2 linked regions of the Macaca fascicularis genome follow. The protein of the gene in region 2 purifies or fractionates together with the protein of the main gene of each other region. This does not show direct contact. Links are inferred from orthologs where the notes say so. Each region holds a gene or a part of one and is shown on either strand. Other genes may lie near its edges.

Region 1 (4,331 bases), on a different chromosome or scaffold from region 2:
GGGGGCTGCCGCCACACCAGCTTCCCCTCACTCATCAGTGCGGTAGAGTGCCAGGGCGTGGCCAGTGAAATCGATGACATCCTGGCCCAGATCAAACTTCCGGTAGACATCACGCATGCTGGTAGTCTGGGGGTCAACACCCTCAAAGGTCTTGGGGTCATTCTCATCGAAGTTTGCCACAAACACCAGGAACTTGCGGAAGCGCCGTTTCTCAAACATACCCATCAGATCTAAGGAAGGTGGCGGGAGGAGGTTCTGCACCAACGCAGCACAAAACTCTCCATCTCAGCAGGGCAGGCACCCCCACTCCCAGCCCAGCTGTCCTGTGACCTTAGGTTAACCTCTCCACCCTTTTTAGCCTCAGTTTCCCCACCAGGATGAAGAGGGGATTGGCCTGGATGGACTCTAAGGGCTTTCCTGGCTTGGACACTTGGGGATGTCTTGAGGATCCAGTGGAGCCCCTGCCAAAGGCTCAAGTTTTCTTTGTTGTTGTTGTTTTTTGAGATGGAGTCTTGCTCTATCGCCCAGGCTGGAGTGCAGTGGTATGATCTCGGCTCACCACAACCTCCACCTCCCGGGTTCAAACCATTCTCTTGCCTCAGCCTCCCGAGTAGCTGGGATTACAGGTGTGTGCCACCACACTCAGCTAATTTTTTGTATTTTGAGACAAGACGGGGTTTCACCATGTTGGCCAGGCTGGTCTTGAACTCCTAACCTCGTGATCCACCCGCCTAGGCCTCTCAAAGTGCTGGGATTACAGGCATGAGCCACCGTGCCTGGCCACGCTCAAGTCTTTCAAAAGGAGTCCCGTTCCCCTCCACGTCACATCCCTGCTGCGTGGGGACCTCCCTCTTGGCAGCCAGCCATGCGGCATGACATGGGGCAGAGGGAATACAGAGTGAAGGGCCTCTGGTCCTTCATGGGGGAATGTGACTTTGGACAAAGGGGTGCCTTACTCTGGACAGCCACCCATCCCAAAGACAGTTGGCTTCCCTGCCACCCCATGATTTCTCTGGCTCAGGGGGCCCACACTCACTGGAAGCCAAGGCCTCAGTCTCAGTGGACGGCACTTTGTAGATCTTGCCCCCCTTGTAGACAAAGCTGCCCTCCACCACCTTGAAGTCCAGGTAGCGAGTCACTTCTGTATACAGTAGCATCTTTACCAGCTGCCCTGTGGGGGTGCACAAGGGCAACATCAGCACGGCTCTCTCCAGAGGTTCTAGCTGGTCTGGCTGTGCCTCCTTTGGAGCCTGACTGTCCTTAGGTCTTCCCTATCACCCCCGACCTGCAATACCTCCTTCCTGTCCCTCACCGTTAGCCATGAGGAATTTGGGAATCAGGTCAACGTTCCAGTCTCGGCCTCGGCCCATGGACTCAGGGGGCCCCTCCAGCAACTGAAAACGCTTATACAGCTGTAAGCAGAAGGGAGAGAGAGACACCTCAGGGACCACCTCCTCCTGCTCCAGGCACCTGGAGAGCTACTTCCACCCTGTGCCGCTGTGTGGGAGGTTAACAGGGATGGGCCTGGGCCCAGGCAGCCTCACCTCCTCCAGGGGTGTGATGGAGGAGCTCTCGCCCCCGTAGTAGGGGTTCCGGTCCATGTGCAGCACCTTCTTCCCGTTCACAGACATGATGCCCGACAAGATGCATTCCTGGGGGAGGGCCACACAATCCGCTGCACTCCCACCTTCCTCTGCTCCTACCAGCAGCCCTGATTTGTTCCCCACCCAAACCTGCCTCAGTGGACAGCTCCTTCCATCCACCACCCCCACCGGCTAGTTGCCTCGCCTAAAATTGGGGTGATGGTTTCATCCGACCACACTCTCCATTGCAACCTTGCGGGGTAAAGGAGACCGTCCCCCTCACAAGGCAGACAGTGAAATAACGGAGGCTTTGAGGTAGGCAGGGCATCCAGCAGACACAGGATGGCCTTCCAGTACCAACACGCCGAGAGGCATCTACCTACGCAGAGCCGCACAAAAAGGCGGATAAAACACAATGTGGCACAGAGGGGACCCAGCTGGACTGCGAAAGACACTCCAAAGGGAAGCAAAGAAAGGCTTAGCACAGTCCTTGAAATTGTAGGCCCCACCCTGGACTGCTCTTTCTTCAAAGAGCAGGAGCCCCTGCCGCTGAGGAGGGGCATCTGGGTCTGGACCGAGGGAGAAGAGTCTCTGAGGGGAGTGGGCCAACGGGATTTTCGGGGAAAGGGGGAAGATAAACACCCTCACCAGTCACTGTCACTAGCCCAAGGACAAAGGCTGCAGATGCTACTCAGCCTGAGGTCTCCATGGGCAACCGAGGTGGGGTTGCGGGAATGTGCTTACTGCCCCCACTGCTGCTCCTTCTGGAACATTCCCTGGATCCCCTGGCCCCAGAAGACGACGAGGGGGTGGGCTGAGAGCCCACCCTGGCGAGGCCCCCTGACCCCAGGTCCTTGTACTTCATCCTCACAGGGATTAGCGCAAGATGGGAAGGGACGCTGGGAGGCAACGCTAGGCGGGCGATGGGTGCGGGCGACGGGTGGATGCCGTGATGGGTGGGGGCGATGGGTGGGCGGGGTGGGGGCGATGGGTGGGCGGGGTGGGGGCGATGGGTGGGCGGGGTCGGGGGCAACGGGCCGAGTGGGGGTGCGTTTTCCGGTCCAGAGGGCAGGGGTAGGGAAGATGGGAGAGCGCCGGGGGTCGGACCCGGGTAGGCCAGGGGGCGGCCAGGAAGGGGGCCCCTTCGGGGAGATGGGGTCATGGCAACGAACAGAGGCGACATCGCGGGGGGAGCAGCGGGGTGGGCACGGCGCCGGCTTTTCGGGGAGCCGAGCGCAGAAGATGGCAGTGACCGGAGGATGGGCCGGCGGCCGCATCATCGCGGGGAATGGCGAGGGCACGACGCAGGGCCAAGGGCGCCCGGGGCCGCACTTACGGTGAGGCCGGTCCCCAGCACGATTACATCGTATTCCTCGTCCATGGTCAGGCCTCAGTGGCAGCGCCCGCTCGGCTCCTCCTCCTCCTTCACCACAGCAGTAGCCACCGCCGCCGCCGCCACCGCACTGGACCAAAGATGGCGGAGCGTCGGCCGCCGCCCGACCCCTCCGCCGCGTCAAAGAGTCCCGCCTCTTCCCGCGCCCCGCCGCACCCGGCAGGGGACACCGCCTTCCCGGCTCGCCTCCCGGGAGGGCTGCCAGGGCCCGGGCCACAGCACCAGCGCGGCTCCGCGGGCGACGTTGCTCGCCGAGAGTCCAGAGAGGCTCGGGGCGGGGCGGGCGGGGCGGGCGGGGCGGGCCGGCGGCCGGTGCTGCGGCCCGGGAAGGATCCATGCGCGGGAGCCGGGCGCGCCCCGCCCCGCCCCGCCCCGCGCGCGCCCGCCCCGCCCCCCGGGAGTCTCGGCGCGGCCCCGCGACCGGACGCGCGCCGCTGCGGCAGCCGGGGGCGGCTCCCTCACGACGCGAAGGCTGCCATTGTCACTACGGCCTCCTGAGACGCCGAAGCGCACCGGGACTCGGCCCGACCACCCCTCCCTGACCTAAGCGGTTAGGGCCCAGCTTACTAAAGCCCCTCCCGGTCTCCGGGGATGCCTCCTAGCCTCCCCCTCTCCAGGCTCCATCCTCCCGCATACCTCTGGCGAGCACGCGCCAAAAGCTCAGCGCAGAAATGAGCGACAAGAGGCCCAACGCATGGCGATCCTCGTTTACTTTATTAGGAAGGAAACAACCGAGCACCCCCTGCTCCTGCCAGGCACTTCCGGTGGGAACATGCCAGACAGCCGACGATCGCACCCAGCCCACCTGTGGAGGTGCCTTCCTTCTCAGGCCACAGAAATAAACCCCAGTGTACTGCTTATTGTTAGCACAACATCACCAGAAAACGATAACGACAGCCAAGCAGGACAGTTAAGTAGAACTTCCACACCCCAAACTCAGGGAGCCCTATAACCTTAAGGAGGGAGCATTTGCTACACAAAAACACTATCCACAGCCAGGGATGATGTAGACACAAGAATAAATAAGGAGAAAGGGGACCCTAGAATTCATGTCCCTTACGCCTCACAGCGACTAAGCCTGGAAAGCTGGTTGGTCTAGCATCTACGCAGAATATGTACACCTTGTTGGGAGAGATGGGGGCAGCCCAGGAAAGCTCCTCAGCAGGCTGAAGAGGGAGCAAGATGGGCTGAGGGGAGCTTGGGGTTCATGCTGCGGTAGGAAGAGGGAAGCTCCAGTCCAGTGTGCTGCAGGGTGGGAAAGCAACAACACGGACACTGTCCCACCCTCAATCCCCCACTGGCACAGGGTCAGACGATCTGGGTCAAAGAAATGGTGGGGCCCTTGTGATCATCAA
Region 2 (4,318 bases):
ACTGATGGGGAGGGAGAACCGAAGGTAAAGCAAATGCAAAGAAAATGCGAGGGGCCGGGCACGGTGGCTCACGCCTGTAATCCCAGCACTTTGGGAGACCGAGGCGGGCAAATCACCTGAGGTCAGGAGTTCGACACCAGCCTGACCAACAGGTGAAACCCCGTCTCTACTAAATAGAAAAAATTAGCCAGGCGTGGTAGCATACGCCTGTAATCCCAGCTATTTGGGAGGCTGAGGCAGGAGAATCACTTGAACCCAGGAGGTGGAGGGTGCAGTGAGCCGAGATTGTGCCATTGCACTCTACCCCGGGCAACAAGAGCGAAACTCCATCTCAAAAAAAAAAAAAAAAAGAAAGAAAATGCGAGGAAGCAGGCTGGGTCGGACTGGGGATAGGCTTGACCACCTTTCAATTTTCAACCCAGTGGTACGACTCTGGCGGCAGGCAGAGGCCCCACCTCCTCTGCAGAGAGCTCTCGGGTTCTCCCGGATTCCTAAAGGACGGCAAAGGCCTGAAGCAGGTTCTCTCAGCACCGCACAGACCCTTCTACTTCGCGGGGAGGTTCTTCCTGCGCCCAGGTGTTCCTCAGCCTTCCTCTCCTCGCCCAGGAAGAGGTTGTGAGGATTACATCATCCCAACCCGAGCAGCGTGGCCAGTTTTTCCATCTCAAACTCTTGCTCTTTAAGTCAACCGGGATGGAGCACTCATGTTTCCCCGTCAGGCCTGGCCCTGGAAAGGGGGCACGCCGGGAGGCGTCTCGTTCTAGCAAAGAGGCTATTAAATGACCCAGGGCGCAGTTTTTTCTCGCGTTTACGAGCTCCACCTACATGGGAACACATGGCCACCCAAGCCCGTCGCTGCGCCAAGACCTCCAACTCAATACACCCGACAAACGCTGGGCAGAGAAACCGCAGCGCAGTCCAGCGGGAGACCCCAGGACTGGAAGGAGGTGCAGGGTTCGGGAAGGGTGTCTCGGGGGGAAAGCGGGGGGGGGGGGGGCGCTGCGCCTGCGCAGTCGCTAAGCAGCGGCTCCCGCGGGGCGTGCTCGTAACGCCGCGCACCCTATCAGGCGGCTACAGGGAGCGCGCCCGCGGCCTCGCCCTCTATCGCCCCTCCCTTCTCCCCTCTGGGTCCAGCCTCAGACTGAGGCTTGGATACCCGAGCATTCCACTCCACTTCGGCGCGCCCCGTGCCCTCTTGTGCGCGTGCGCAGAGGCGAACCGCAGGGCTAGGGCGTGAGGGAAGGGCGGGCGTACGTCCTTGCGTGCGTCTCAGGCAGCGCGCACGGCGGCGTGAGAGGGCACGGGGAAAAGGTGGCTCTGGCCGGGGCGGCTCGGTTTCATGGGGCTATGTAACTGAGCTCGTCGACTTGGGGGTCTTTCTTCGCTGCCCTCGCCGCGTGCTAGCGCGGAGTTTCTGCTCGCGAGAGAGACTGTCCTCACGCCCGCCGCGCCTCGTCGACGGCAGAGCAGGCTTGCTCGCCCGTGGGAGCGTCCCGGCCGAGAAGCCCTGAGGGGGGAGGGGAGGCCATTTTGTCCCGACCGACTCCCCGGAACCGGGCGGAGCGGCTGGGAGAGGCTGCGGAGCTGTGGTCGCCGCCCTCGGAGGCACTGGACGCCGCCACTGTCGGGGCTTCCCCGAAGCTGTTCGTAGGTCGCCCGCGCCCTCTCGAGCCTTCCTTTTTCCCACGCTTCCCCGGTCCTCCGGCCTGAGAACGCCCGAGTGAGGAGTTGGCCCTAGTGAGAGGGACCGATCCCTTGGGGCCGCCGGCGGCGAGAGCCCGAGCCGCTCCTCCCAATGGCGAAGAAGACGTACGACCTGCTTTTCAAGCTGCTCCTGATCGGGGATTCGGGAGTGGGGAAGACCTGCGTCCTTTTTCGTTTTTCGGATGATGCCTTCAATACTACCTTTATTTCCACCATAGGTAAGACCTGTGGGAGGACGGTGTACAGTCTCGGTAGCTGCAAACCGTTTATTTTACTCCAGACATCTTGCTTCCCGTAATATACGCCTTTGTTTCAGTGATTCCGATTCCAAACGACAGATCCAAGTTACTGTTTGAATCGGCATCGAGCTTACTGGGGCGGGGTCTTCCCATGATTTCCATCCGGTCTTTTGCTTTCGAGTCTCCCACTATGCTCAGTGCCTTCTGTTACAAAATATGCACCATTTAACCGTGTTCCAGAACCTTATTTCTTCAGGCGACTGGACTGGCTTTTTCCACATTTGCATGGAATTACTAGATGTGTGATATTTTTAAAGTATTTATTTCAGTGGTTGCGATTGAAGCAGTACTAGCTATTTGGGAAAGGCCTGAATTTATACTTTGGGGCAAAGAGAAGATTCCATATGCTCATAACTTAGAGTAAACTTGAGGGTTTCTGAGAAGGATAATTAAGGTAAATTAGAAGGGAAAAGTGAGTTGCCCTCATTGACTAATCCATTGATGTGTCAAACAATCGGAGGCTCTTCGCGCTTGGGGCGGGACTCTGGCATATTTGCCTCAGCGCTTTTCGAGACATCAACAGAAGCAGTAATCTGAGGAAGATGATCAGTTTCTGTCCTCAAACCCAACAGAGTGAAGTCAAGTTCTCTCTTCTATTTTATTTGACTCTAGTATTTACAGGAAAGTATTTTGCCAGTCATAGCCCTATGGACTTACAATGCACTTTCACCGTGTTTCAGAATTACTTAGTGTGGCAGTAAGAGCTGAAGAGTGACCTTTTTAATCGAATTTCCCGTTTAGGAAAGGAAAAGGGAAAGCTCTAGGAAAGTCCCTTTTGAATCTGGGTAGAAAATTTAAGTGGCGCTGACGCTAATTGTGCTTTATTAATTGTGAAACCCATCCGCTCCCCAATACATTTCTTAAAAGACACATGGCTCTCAGCATTGTGGCCGTGCAGTTGAACCCATGTTTAAATGTAATTTTATATTGAGACGATTTTAAAAAGCAACTGCAGTCGTCTTTGAACTCTGGGAATTGTCAAAATTAAGCTGATTTGAAGCAATTTATATAGCGTTACTGAAATATTTGGTTTGGGTTTTCTTTTGTGACAAATATCAGCTGCTTCGTTCTCACAAAATACATTTTACAGAAATTAAATTGGACAAGTCATTTTTTAAATAGATTTTTATTTTGCTCACCTTTTTTGGGAGGCAAATTATCATAATCCTTATTTCCAGAGTATCATACTGTTTTCTTGGTTTGTCATAAATTTCATGAAACTTAGGGCTTGTTCTCTAACTTGTGGGTTAGAGAATACTAGCACTTAGCGCTAGCACTTCCCTAGCACTAAGTTTGCTTTTAACACTCCACTTTTAGCTGTAGCTGGCTGGGGTTAGGTGATCAGATGGGTCAGCAAATATTTATTGAGCATCTAATGCTGGGCACTGTTCTTAGACACTGAGAATAAATGAACACAACAGACCCCTTGAGGAGCATTCCAGTAAGATGCTACAGTAGTAAGCATAGGGAGGAAGAGTGCCTAGTCTAAATCGTGAGGAGTTTGAGTAGACTTACATAGAGATGATACCTAAAATGAAGTCTGGGCCGGCGCTGTGGCTCACACCTGTAATCCCAGCACTTTAGGAGGCCTTGGCGGGCGGATCATAAGGTCGGAAGTTCAACATCAGCTTGGCCAATATCGTGAAACCCCATTTTTACTAAAAATACAAAAATTAGCTGGGCGTAGTGGCAGGTGCCTGTAGTCCCAGCTACTCAGGAGGCTGAGGCAGGAGAATGGCTTGAACCTGGGAGGCGGAGGTTACAGTGAGCTGAGATTGTGCCCCTGCACTCCAGCCTGGGCAACAAAACGAGACTTAGTCTCAAAAAAATAATAATAAATGAAGTCTGGAGGACTAATAGGAATTGAGTCAGAGGGGTGGGATAGGGCCTTTCTGGAAAAGGGAGCATAGAACAAATGTATAGTAAGGTTGAGGATTTAATTCATGTGGTCAACTTTCTTTCTTTCTTTCTTTATTTTGAGACTGAACCTCACTCTGTCACCCAGGCTGGAGTGCAGTGGTGTGATCTCGGCTCATTGCAACCTCCGCCTCAGGGGTTCAAGCAGTTCTGCCTCAGCTGCCTGGGTAGCTCTGATACAGGTGCTTGCCACCATGCCTGGCTAATTTCTGTATTTTTAGTAGAGACTGGGTTTCACCATGTTGGTCAGGCTGCTCTTGAACTTCGGACCTCAAGCACTCCACCGCCTCAGCCTCCCAAAGTGCTGAGATTACAGGCTGAGCCACCACGCCCGGCTATGTGGTCAACTTTAACCTATCCTTAGGAACAGTGTGGTTGGAGAGTAGGAAGCAAAACAT

Evidence for each region.
Region 1: the proteins of RAB10 (region 2) and GDI1 purify together in Homo sapiens (co-immunoprecipitation; 4 studies listed by BioGRID and IntAct, counting the BioPlex papers as one, with this or other methods). This does not show direct contact. The link is inferred for Macaca fascicularis from reciprocal best matches to the Homo sapiens genes RAB10 and GDI1.

Annotation. Positions count from the first base shown.
Region 1 is NC_088395.1:160,436,828-160,441,158, reverse strand, and holds the start of GDI1 (rab GDP dissociation inhibitor alpha), read right to left. Parts: upstream 3,060-4,331; 5' UTR 2,965-3,059; coding exon 2,920-2,964; intron 1,653-2,919; coding exon 1,545-1,652; intron 1,413-1,544; coding exon 1,313-1,412; intron 1,172-1,312; coding exon 1,037-1,171; intron 231-1,036; coding exon 32-230; intron 1-31. Other genes in the region: ATP6AP1 (V-type proton ATPase subunit S1), read right to left, coding at 4,285-4,331. UniProt on the Homo sapiens protein: Regulates the GDP/GTP exchange reaction of most Rab proteins by inhibiting the dissociation of GDP from them, and the subsequent binding of GTP to them. Promotes the dissociation of GDP-bound Rab proteins from the membrane and inhibits their activation.
Region 2 is NC_088387.1:96,200,751-96,205,068, reverse strand, and holds the start of RAB10 (ras-related protein Rab-10), read left to right. Parts: upstream 1-1,271; 5' UTR 1,272-1,795; coding exon 1,796-1,922; intron 1,923-4,318. UniProt on the Homo sapiens protein: The small GTPases Rab are key regulators of intracellular membrane trafficking, from the formation of transport vesicles to their fusion with membranes.